Canis lupus familiaris: one gene and its partners. The protein of the gene in region 2 purifies or fractionates together with the protein of the main gene of each other region. This does not show direct contact. Links are inferred from orthologs where the notes say so. Each region holds a gene or a part of one and is shown on either strand. Other genes may lie near its edges.

Evidence for each region.
Region 1: the proteins of INTS6 (region 2) and PPP2R1A purify together in Homo sapiens (affinity purification with mass spectrometry; 4 studies listed by BioGRID and IntAct, with this or other methods). This does not show direct contact. The link is inferred for Canis lupus familiaris from reciprocal best matches to the Homo sapiens genes INTS6 and PPP2R1A.
Region 3: the proteins of INTS6 (region 2) and POLR2C purify together in Homo sapiens (affinity purification with mass spectrometry; 3 studies listed by BioGRID and IntAct, with this or other methods). This does not show direct contact. The link is inferred for Canis lupus familiaris from reciprocal best matches to the Homo sapiens genes INTS6 and POLR2C.

What each region holds. Positions count from the first base shown.
Region 1 is NC_049222.1:105,634,056-105,638,297, forward strand, and holds the start of PPP2R1A (serine/threonine-protein phosphatase 2A 65 kDa regulatory subunit A alpha isoform), read right to left. Parts: upstream 2,838-4,242; 5' UTR 2,733-2,837; coding exon 2,655-2,732; intron 2,318-2,654; exon of another isoform or gene 1-2,317. UniProt on the Homo sapiens protein: The PR65 subunit of protein phosphatase 2A serves as a scaffolding molecule to coordinate the assembly of the catalytic subunit and a variable regulatory B subunit.
Region 2 is NC_049243.1:602,146-605,782, reverse strand, and holds part of INTS6 (integrator complex subunit 6), read right to left. Parts: coding exon 3,342-3,637; intron 2,312-3,341; coding exon 2,218-2,311; intron 172-2,217; coding exon 78-171; 3' UTR 1-77. UniProt on the Homo sapiens protein: Component of the integrator complex, a multiprotein complex that terminates RNA polymerase II (Pol II) transcription in the promoter-proximal region of genes.
Region 3 is NC_049223.1:58,230,604-58,234,836, forward strand, and holds the start of POLR2C (DNA-directed RNA polymerase II subunit RPB3), read right to left. Parts: upstream 2,801-4,233; 5' UTR 2,732-2,800; coding exon 2,646-2,731; intron 2,490-2,645; coding exon 2,440-2,489; intron 557-2,439; coding exon 488-556; intron 123-487; coding exon 70-122; intron 1-69. UniProt on the Homo sapiens protein: Core component of RNA polymerase II (Pol II), a DNA-dependent RNA polymerase which synthesizes mRNA precursors and many functional non-coding RNAs using the four ribonucleoside triphosphates as substrates.

The DNA of each region.
Region 1 (4,242 bases), on a different chromosome or scaffold from region 2:
AGGATTTAATACAGAGGTGGTTCAAGTCGAGTTTTCGTATTTTGTTTAATTATCTATTTTTCAGGATCCCTGGGTGTCTCAGCAGTTTAGCGCCGCCTTTGGCCCAGGGCGTGATCCTAGAGTCCTGGGATTGAGTCCCACATCAGGCTCCCTGCATGGAGCCTGCTTCTCTCTCTGCCTGTGTCTCTGCCTCTCTCTCTCTCTCTCTGTCTCTCATGAATAAATAAATAAAATCTTAAAAAAAAAAAAAAAAAAGGTTGGCATCCTCTTTCCTGTAAAGAACTAGGTGGTAAATATTTTAGGCGTTAAGGGGCCAAAACTTGTCTCTGTTGCAACTACTCAATTCTACCCTATTGTTTCACAGAGCAGCCATGGATAATATGTAAATGGAAGAGTCTGTGTTTTCAATAACACTCTATTAAAAAAATAAAAAGGCAAAGGGCCACCCTTTGCCATTTGCCAATCCCTGTGATGAGGGATAGAAGCAGAAATATGTTCATTTTTAGCCCAGAAGGCTGACCTAGAGCTGCATAGTTTCAATAAGGACAAAAAACCTGTTTGCTACATTCTTAAAGAGTGCCTCTATATCTCACCAATAGTTAATACCAGAGAAATCTTGTGAAATTAGTTTTACAATTAGAAATTCGAAAACATTTATGATCTAATACTCCCTCCACATCCCTTGCCCCTTGAGCACCATGCATATAACCACTGGCTTCATACAGAAGTACAGCTCTTTCTATCCACAGGTCCTCATGCTACTTAAACTTGTTAAGCTGTACCATAAAACATCTCAAAAACTTTCTTAACCACTGTGCTCAATGATCTGGCAACACCTAGTTTAAGTGACTGCTCACAAGTTCCCTCTGAGTCATAGTCCCTTTTATCTTCATCTCCTGACACCCAACAGCTCATTCCTTTGGCTCCTGTCACACTGGTTTCCTGCAGTTCTCAGAGCATGCATTACATATTCCTGCTGCAGGACTTTTGCGCTTGCTTCCTTTACCTGGAATGCTATTCCCCCAGATATCTATGAGGCCTGCTTCTCATTCACATTTCTGCTAAAATGTCCCCTTCTCAATAAGGCCTTGCCTAGTCATTCTAAACTTGTGTAACATTCTCCCGTCCTCTCCATCCCTGCTTCATTTTTCTCCAAAGCATTTATTGCCATCTTACATGGTATACATTTTAACTTAATTGTCTTATTGTCTGTTTCTCCACAGGCAACATAAAAGTTGTAGGAGTCCAGGAGTTCTTGTCCACCTTGTTCCTTTTTGTATACATGTGCCTAAAACAATGCACTACCTAGAGCTGAGGCCCAATAAATACTGATTCACCATCACAATACCCTGTTTCCTTCCCACATCTCACAACTGTTAATAATCTATTCAGCTGTTTCACATCTGCCTCTTGTATAACAACTGGTGTCACCATTATCACCATAACTGACATGGGGCAGGTGTTTATTGAACAAATGAATTCATACAAGAGCCCTATGAACCAGATAATTACCTCCATCTGAGAGAAGAGGAAAGCCAGGGCCAAGAGGATTAACAAACTTGCCCATGTCAATTAGCAAGAAGTACAGCAGCAGCCTGTCTGACTCCAGAATCAGTGATCTACCTCGAACTTCAGAGGCTGGGCCTAATGCAATCCGCTCAATTTCATAAACAGAAAAATGGAAGCTCCTATAAAGGAATGGGACCTCTTCCATTACTACTCCCAATAATTGCAGCTAACATTTATTGGACCCTTATAACAATTAGGCACCGTTCTATTTTACTTGCAGTATTAACTCGTCCAGGCCATCACAACCACCCAGGGAGGCCGGAACTATTATTAGCCTACATTGCAGAGAAAACAGGCCCAGAGCGATGAAGTAATTTGCACAAGGTCACACGGCGGGTGGGAGGTAGGGCCGGGGTGGGCAAACCGTGGAGTCCTCAGTCTTCTCAGCCCTTCACCAGAAATGTGCTAGGCTGTTTAGTCAACTGCCCACCGCAGCCCGGCAGGGCCCCAGAAGGCGGGAGAATCTCTATCTCGAAATCCGTGCTTAAATTTGGCCAGTTGCTCTCGTGGGAATGGGGTGTTCTCGCCGCACCTCCCCTCGTGGATTCTACACCAAAACTGAAAAGGGAGGGAGAGCAGGAATTGGAAGGGCAGCCGTCACCGCTCAAGCCCCATTCCGAGAGTTTACCCCAAGGCGCTGAGGCCCAGCCGCCAGAACACAGTAAGGAGAAAACGTACCCGAGCCCCCACACACCGGGGGCCCCTCCCCCACTCGGAATAGGCCGCGCGCCCCATCCCCAAGAGGCCATTCTGGGGCCGCCGCCAATCACCGAGCCCTTCCCTCCGCCCCACCCAGTGGCCTGACCCCCTCCCCAGTCGCAGCTTCCCAGGACCCGGGCCGCCGCGCGCACTTGGCAGGCCCGGGCGCCTCCAGGCTGGCCTGCCTCCCGCCCTCCAGTGGGCCAACACCCAATCCCGGGCGCCCTCTCATCCAGTCCAGGGACATGGAAACGTGAAAGCCGGACGCTGATTGGCCGCCTCCCCCTTCCGCCACTCCTAGCGAACACTGAGCCTTCTCCGCGAGGGCCGTCCGTGCCCCCATTACCTCTTCCTGTAATTCCCCAAGACCCCCGTAGCCTCCGGACCTGAACATCCTCGTTGCGAAGCTCGTCTATCAACACTGCGATGGGGTAGAGCGAATCGTCGCCGTCGGCGGCCGCCATCTTGGTTCCGTCCCGTTCCTGTCAGACTGCAGCCGGCGCCGTGCTGAAACCGGGGCAGGAAGGGTAGGGCTGGGCAGAGGACGGAAGACGAGCGTGGGGTCGCCTGAGCCACTTTACAGGGGCTGCCCCACGGTCATTGGCCGCGCGACGCCCGCATTTCGTTGGTCCGGATAAGTGAAGCCCCGCCCACTGCCCATTTGCCATTGGTTGAAGGGACGAAGTCGGCGGTCTCAGTATAGCAGAGAGGGGAAGGAAACGGAAGTACGCGGTATCTTAGCGACCAAGATTGTACCCGCCTACGTCGCCGCTAACGACGAGGGAGACGAGCAGTTGTACCTAACCAATAAATGGAGGGATTCAGAGGAAGCAAAGACTGCCCTCTGGCCGGTCCAGCACAAAGCTTCTGTGCATGCGTCGCTTGGAGTGCGTGACGTCATGTGAGGACCCGGACAGTCTGCAAGTTTTGGCTTGTGAGGCAGTGGTCCTGGTTCCTGGTGGACGTACTGCCGGCAACTCTGTGAGGGAGGAGATGGGAATGAGCCTTAGGTTTTTGCCTTATTATGCGGAGGCCCCCCGAAGGTTGGTGACTTGCCTTACTCTCTCGATGAAACTCAAGCCCTTCAGGCTGATAGTCAAGGCCCTTGTGAATCTGGTTCCTAAACCGTACTTAGGCGCATCTTCCACTTCTCGTTTTACACTTCAGTGGCCCTGAAAAATTAGAGCCCTCGCAGTACATCATGCTTTTTCACGTCAAACAGCATTTGTCCAAAACATCCCTTTCCTTGGAGAGCAGATCTCTGCATAAATGTCTCCCGTTCACTGCCGTCCAGCCCTCAGAACCACATACGACTACCACTACCACTGATGAAGTTTTGGAATTATAGGTGAGGTCTAGAACCGACCACCAAGAATTCTTGAAACGTCTTTAGTGCAAAATGGTGGTTTTAGTAAAGCACGGGGACAGGACCCGTGGACAGGAAGAGCTGCTGCCCTAGGCCTGTGAGGGGTGGCTGATTATATACCTGGGGGTTGGGAGGGGTTTGAGGATAGCATACTCTAAGGAATTTTGGAAGCAAGGTTTCCAGGACCTTGAGGGGGCTAGCTATTGTTGAGAAAAGGTCACTTATTACCGTCTAATAAAACCTGAGTCATGAGACCCTTCAAATGTATATTGGTGAGCCACGTGCTTGTGGGATGATTGCCAATATGTATCTTGGGGGTTTAGAGATAAAGGGAATTTCTAAAGGAATTTTTATATGTTAAAGTAGACTTACAGGATCCTGGGTGTCTGGCTAATCTTGCCTTTTGCCCTTAGCAAAGTATGAACACCAAGGCAGTTGAGTCTGTAGAGGAACATCACTCCCCCTGTTTCAAGGACTTGTCAATGTACTTCCCAGGGCTTGTGCTTTGTCCTTAGCTAGTCCTTTGTTCCCCATGAAAAATACCTCTGCATCAGAAACAGGCTCAATCATCAGCTTGATTCTAGGCAGTCTCTGTGAAGAACAGGCCC
Region 2 (3,637 bases):
TGCAAGATCACAACAGTCTTGTATTTACTTTGTATTTGGAGAAGATACTGAAATAAGTGGCCACATTCTGTTTTCTTTTAACTGCTATTAATATGGTTGATCTGATTGGCTCTTCGATGAATTTCATCCAAGAAGTTCTCCAGTTGTTCTATTAGCATTCGTTTTTTAAACCTGTATAAAAAAAATAAGTAATAGCACTCTCAATTTCTTTTTAATGGATGTAGATCAGAGTGTTCGTGTTTTGTTTTGTCGTTTTAAAGATAGAAACTGCCTTGGGAAGATTTTTCAAAGGAAAATAAAAATGAAAAAACACAACTTTATGATATATAAAATCCATTGGCAGATAAGCAAATTATTTTATCAGTGCAGAATTACAGTTTGTTCCTAAAACAAATAACCCAGGCCCAGGTAAATGGAAGCAGGTTATTTGTTTCACATCCGAAAAGAAAAACAAGAAACCCTACCATTTACAAGGGTTACATATATTCTAACAAAATTTAGACTTCCAAAGCAATGACTCCAATAGCTTCCTATGCTCTTTAAAAGTTGAATGTTGAATGTGAAAAAAGTATGAATATAATCCCAAGACAGAAGAAGAAACGAACAGTTGGATGGCAGCATTAAAAAACCCTTGGGTTAGGGAAGCCTGGGTGGCTCCATAGGTCGGGCGTCTGCCTTTGGCTCAGGTTGTGATCCCAGGGTCCTGGGATCAAGTCCCACATCAGGCTCCCTGCTTCTCTCTCTGCCTCTGCCTGTCTCTCCCCCTGCTTGTACTCGCTCACTTTCTCTCTCTCTCTCAAATACATAAAATCTTGAAAAAAAAAAACAAACAAAAAAACAAAAACCCTTGGGTTCTACTATTACAATTTGAAAGTTAGCAAATCAAGGATTATTAGACATCTGTAGTATAGGATATAGCCAACAGTTCAAGTGGTAATTTAACTTTTTTCCACTAATATAGTAGCTTAAAATTGCATTTGTCTACAGAAGTATTAACACTGCTAATGCTTTTTAGAATATGAGAATATCAAAACACTGTCCAATCTATACCTTCTTCCTCTCTACTTGTAAATTAGTATAAAGAGCCACCCTAATATTCCACATCTCTCTACAAGGTGGCAAAAATGGAGGGCAGGCACCAGGAATACAGCTAAATCCATGAAGTCTAAGTTGCTAGAATGTCACATAAAGAAAACAACAGATGAAATACTCAAAACAACATGAAAAGTTATGGTCTGATCTTGAACCTTCAAAGTGGCATATGCTCTAGCCACTCAAAAAAAAAAAAAAAATTAACTGGTCCAACTAAAAATACCTTTATGTGTAGCATGGACGAAACTAGGGGATTATTAAAGGGTGGGTATATTCAGAAGGTCAGATAAGATGAACACTAAGTTTTCTTAGAATACTAAAGAAAGGGATCCCTGGGTGGCGCAGCGGTTTGGCGCCTGCCTTTGGCCCAGGGCGCGATCCTGGAGACCCGGGATCGAATCCCACGTCGGGCTCCCGGTGCATGGAGCCTGCTTCTCCCTCTGCCTGTGTCTCTGCCTCTCTCTCTCTGTGACTATCATAAATAAATAAAAATTTTAAAAAAATTAAAAAAAAAAAAAAAAAGAATACTAAAGAAATCGTGAAAGAAAAGTGTTTTTTATACTCCCTAAACGACTACAACTATGCTTTCCAGTTAACTGCACTTCATAGTTACCATTTATAATCTTGATCCACATTCCTTGTATTAAAGTACATAATCCTGAGCTACTGAAGCAATCAGAATAAGGCCCATTTGTCCAACTCTGCTCCCCTTAATTACATGTTTTCCCACGTACAAATATTGTCTTTCGAGGTTGTTGCTAATCACTGGTTAATATTAACTATAGCCCAAATATGCAAAGGAAAAAAATTAAAGGTTAAAAAGTATAAAGACCCCCCCCCAAAAGCCACAGAGTAGGATAAATGAGAATTATGCAAGTATCTGTAATCTGTAGGTAGAAAAGGTCCATAGTTGGCGAAAAATTTGTGCATGGCTATTTTTTAAGTGGACTTCTTTCAATAAACTAAAAAAAGAAAAAAAAAAAAGAAAAAGAGAAACTTATATACACATGAGTGTGTCATACACATGCATACTATCACAGGTTCAAAATAAGTACTGTTAAAAACCTGACTGTGAGCTGGGGACTCATTTCATAATCATTTCAAAATGTGTAATAGATTCTTTACCTTGATGCTTCTTTAATGACATTTTGTAAAAATATTAGTCTTGTTTGTAAACTGCCTTGCACATGCTTCAGTAACGTGAAGATCCTTTCATATTCTTAAAACAAGAGAAGCAAAAAGAAAAAGTTAAGTGGCTTTTCTACACACTCTTATTATTTTTCTATTGCAGTTTACTATATCAAGATGTAGTACACAAAACCAAGATATTCTACGTAAAATTTTCACCACTCATTAAAAACTTTATAATACGCACATTTCACATATCAGCAAAGATAAAATAACTTGTTAAACTGAATTTTTGGTAAAAATTCCCATAAAGAAACAAACCCAAAACTGAGAAAAATCAGTGAATAGCTTTCTGATAGTGCCACTGAAAAAGCAGCAGCAAGGCACCTCCATCCTTATAATTTAATCTCTAAACTACAGTTCCCATGGTAGGGAGGGGCAAAGAGCAGGGTGAGAAACGAGGAAAGTGCTATTTCAGTTTCAGGTTTTCACCTAAAACTCTGCCAAGGACTATAAGCTCTAAGTGGCAAGGGCTGACCTGCCCACTTCTGAACCATCGTGGGTCACTGTACCATCAGACAGGGGATCTGCCAACATCTCTTGAATGAGTGCCAATAATACTGAAATTGTATCTCACAAACTCCTTTTGTATTCGTGAAATATATAGTTTCTGTAACTTCCATTTTGGGGCCTAAACATACTCCTCCTGGTCACCATCATAGTTTAAACCCTAAACACAGTGGGGACGCTAGGCCAGGAACTTTATAGACATGAAGTCATCTAACATTCGCTCCATCTTGCTGGGTTTGCTGCTCCATCCCACTGCAGCTGCTGTGTAGAAAATACGAAGGACACCAGGTTCCTGCCCCGGTAGGAACTCTGTGCTGCCGACCTGTGTGTTCTCTAAGCTCCGCTCTCAGCACTTCCTGCTCACCCCCCCTACACCACAATACTGGGGACATAGCAGATATTTAGTGTTTGTAGGATGAATAAAGAACCTAATCATACAGCTCCTACGTTGTTGAGCACTCATCTAGAATCAGGTCTATGTTTTTGATTAATCTCTCTTCTTTGAGCACACACAGAAATCAAATATGAGGTTTGCCTCTAATTATACATACTTCTTCCTGGCTTTCGGATCTCTTTCATTATTTGTGCTTTTAGTTCAGTGTTGACCTCCTCATGGCTTCTGCAATGCATCAATTTCTTTCCTTTGTTCAGTGAAGATGCTGGTAGACTCTCTTCAGGACACTGTTCTTTATCTCTTGGTTCCTCATGATTTTCTAAAAATCCACCAACAGTGAGGTCATTAGCTCCTAAATGGTCATGACCAAGAGCCTCTGTATGATTGGTTGGTCGTTCCAGTAAATTGGCTGGAGAAGTTGAAAATTCAGTATCCATAGCATTTGGTGTAATA
Region 3 (4,233 bases), on a different chromosome or scaffold from region 2:
TAAGAGGTCAGGAAAATGCCTCTGAGGGCTGCTTCCTTCCTGCCCCTTCCACCCAATCACACAACATACCCGGGAATACTGCAGCTTGTCCACAATGTCATCACTAGTCAGGGGGATTAGTCCTGGAAGAAACAGAAATGCACTTTAAAGAGTCCAAATCGGGCAGCCTGGGTGGCTGAGCAGTTTAGCGCCGTCTTTAGCCCAGGGTGTGATCCTGGAGACCCTGGATTGAGTCCCATGTCAGGCTCCCTGCATGCAGCCTGCTTCTCCCTCTGCCTGTGTGTGTACCTGCCTCTCTCTCTCTCTCTCTGGGTCTCTCATGAGTAAATAAAATCTTTATTAAAGAGAAAAAGAAAAAGAAAAAAAAAGTCCAAATGGCAATGGCCAAGCCTAAAGGAGAACCTAGAAATCCTTATGGGAGTGAGGCTTCCTCCTCTGACGTCAGGCACAGCCCCCTCCCTCTCACCTTTCAACACCCAGCACTCACCAAGTCTGTGAGCGATGAACTCATCATGAAGGACTGAGGAATTGGCATCAATTTGGACCCAGTCAATGGCTAAAAAATAAGGCAAGCAAACATGCAGTTTAGCCACCAAATTTAAAGACTTACAGCAGTTATTCTCCTGATTTAAAAAATCACCTGATGTTTACTAAATTACAGAGGCCTGGGCCAGGCAGCCAGAGGCTGATTCTGCAGCTTGAGTGGGGACAAGGGATCTGCATTTTAACAAGATCCACATGCAACACAGCTCCCTTCCCTACTCAGATTTAGTGCAGGGTGAGGGTAGGGGGGGGAGGTGTGCTGTCCCACTCAAAATACTGACTTAGAGAATACTAAGGGATACTAATCATGGGATTGGGAACATGTTTCCTTGAGCTGAATATTTCTGTAGGAAGCATGTTGTCTGCTATGCACATCAACACCAAATCAAACACAAACTACATGGGCACTTAAAATAGAGAAAATCTCACAAAAAACAGACTTATGGTCCATATCTCATTTTATGATGCAATGACCAGATTACCCAATTTAAGTCTTTTTATCAACCAACTAACGTTTAAAGAATTCAGCGGGCACAGCATAGTAAGTATCAAATTCAATTCCTACCAGCAACGAGCTAATAAAGGTAAGGACTGTATTCCCACACACACACTTGACTTAAAAACATATTCATTTATAAATAAAATACCTATACGCAAATTCATAAGTGGCCAACTACCAAATAAAGGGTGTGGACACTGGGAATGGGAGTCAGAAGAGGACTAGACATTTAGGACCCAATCTGCTTTGTCCTACGCTAATGCTTCCCCAACCCAAGTCAGATAAGACCCATGAGCCAAGCTTTTCTGTCTTCCTACTCCCTCCAACCCCACATGACCTTACCCTCCCTTGGGGAAGTTACGATCCTCTGAGCCTCCTATAAACCAAGCGTTGCCTGACCTCCACGAAACAGACACTAATACTCCCTCACAAAACTCTGACCAGACTAAAGACATTTGTCATATTTTTGCCTTGTGCTGTATTTGTGTATGTCTTGTCTCTACTGCAGAGCTTTGAAAAATCAGAGAGGGTGGTCTTCAAACGCCTTTGGCTTTCCCAGTGTGGCCTGCAATGTAACAGGTGCTCAGTATTACTTGCAGAACTGAATCTGTGGGAAGAGTGCCGTTTAGACTTGTAACATCAGGGCTGCATCATAAAGCACAACTTTCTTATTTTACTCATGATAAAATTGAGACCCAGAGACTTGGAATGACTAGGGACGGGGGAGAACCAGCACTCCAAGCTCCAAGCTGAAGAAGTGACTGGGGATGACGGTAGTGCAGACTGTGATGTTCTTTCATTTGCCAATCAATGGGCCTGCTCATTTCCTTAGGGAGTGCAGCAGCCAGAAGTTACACTTCGTTTTCCAACCCAAAGTTTGAGTCAACATTCAGAAAATACTTGTAATGTTTATACACATAAAGAACACCCGAGGTAGGGTTGCTGGAACTAAAGCAGATCTTCGTTCCTCCAAACACCGCAAGCGCTGCAGTCATACTTCTCCTGAACTGCTTGCTGATGCACATCTGCCCCACAGTCGTGTCATCTGTGGATTCGCCTCTGCCCTGCAACTTCACCGTGCGCTCCACAAGGGCAAGAACCCCGCGCTATGCAGCTCTGGGTCCCCAGTTCCTAGCACACTGCCTGGCGCTTCTACGTTCCCTACGTGCAGCAGACGGGACGGATTCACACCCGAGTACGCAGACTGCCGTCCACTCTGCGCCGATCCGTACGTTAGGAGAGGACCCTAGCGGCCCCGGGCCAAGGGTACAGGGTCCGAGCGAACGCCCAGCACTGCTGTGTTCTCAGAGCCACCGCCGCGCCGCCCCAACCAAGGGCTGGGGGCAGGGCCCGAGGTGTGCGGAGGGGGCTGGCCACGACAGGCGGCTTTCGCTTACCTATTATGGGCACCTCGGCGATGAAGACCCTCCGGATGGAGTTGGCCACCCTGAGGGATGCAAACAAAGCGGCGTGAGCGCGCCGCAGCCTCGACGCCGACACCCCGCGCCCACCCCTGCCAAGGCGGACGCCCCGCTCTGCGGCCCGGCCCGGGCTCCAGCCCCCCGCGCTCCGCAGCCGCCCGCCTCCTCCCTCGGGGCCTTACGCCAGGTCCGTGTTCTCGATGATGAACTTGACATTCTCGTCGGTAAGCTCGGTGATCCGCACGGTGGGCTGGTTGGCATACGGCATGGCGCCCCCCGGCCCGCCGCCCGCTGGGACTCGGCGTCGGCGCCGCCGCCGCCGCCGCCGCCGCCGGAAGTGGGCCAGCGCGGCCCGCGCCGCCGGAAGTGGACCAGCGCGGCCCGCGCCGCCACCGCCGCCGCCTCGCGCTTACAGCGCCGCCTGTCGCCCGGAGGCCGCCGCGGCTCTGGGCCGCACGTTCTACACTCCCCACCGGCCGTAAGCGCACCGGGGCCAGCCAGGCGCGGGCGGGAATTGGCAGAACGTGCGCACGCCCTCCACTCAACAGTAACACTTCTAGGAATTCATACTGCGAAAATGCCCGCAGTCGTAAGCGAAGACAGGTTCGGGGGCGCTCCCTGCAGCGCTGTTCATAACGGCCAAAGATAACAAAACGAATTGTCTGTTGACAGAGACCACGTTGAATACACGACCATAGGGATACTAGGGTGCCTTTAAGGGAATGAAGTAAATCTGCACATTTATGGAAGAACATGAAGTGTAACTTCGTCAAAGTCTGGCTCATACTCTTCTGAAACTGCAGAAGATATGCTGCTTTTTATCTCAACGCATCATTCGCAGCTTGCCTAGTTATGGCGGGTGGGTGGCAGTCATCTCCACGCCGCGACTCTGCATGCCTGGCACAGTGCCCCTCAGAGGGTGGATGCTTAAGACATTACCAACGCTCCACCCCACAACGGCCTGGAGAAAGGTTTGAATGGGCAGCCACTCATAACACAGAAGAGGTTCTGAAAATAGAACTTAGCAGGAGCTCCATTTAAGGGGCTGAAGAGTAAGAGAGGAGATAAAGAATTTGCCTTAGCTGGAGGTGACTCTTCCTGAGACAGACAGAAAGGGTACTGAAGGGGGTTGTGCTTCATAGCCTGTGTCATCTCAGGAAATTAAGGATTAAGGTTGTCTGCTGAGGGCAGGAAGGATGCTATGAAGGATAAAGAATGGAATAAAATTTGAAATAGCTACTGTAGGGGACTTGACAGGGAGTCATGATACAAAGAATTAAATAGGTACAGAGAAGGGCTGGTGTAAGGCCAAGATTGGAAACACCTATTAGCTGGTGACTCCCCCCCGCCCCCTCCCATCAATACTCAGTCAACTTAGGTTGGACATAATGCCGCAGATAGAAGCTCTGAACTAAATTGTGTCCCTCTCAAATGCTGAAGCCTAGCACCCGGTGTGGTATTTGGAGATGGGAGTCTTTGGGAGGCCAGGAGGGTAGGAATAGTGCCCTTGTAAGAACAGGAGGAGACATTGTAGTTCTCTCTCTCTGCCCTATTCAAACACAGAGAAAAGGTGGCAAGTTAGACTTCGCCAGGAACTGATCTGGCTGGCACCTTGATCCTGGACTTCCCAGCCTCCAGGACTGTGAGAAACACGTTAAGTTGCCCCATCTCTGGTATCTTGTTATAACAGCCCAAGAACACTATGACAAAGGAGTTAACCAGACTTGCAAAGGGAGACCCAGCTAGTGTATAGAGGAAATTATTAATGCT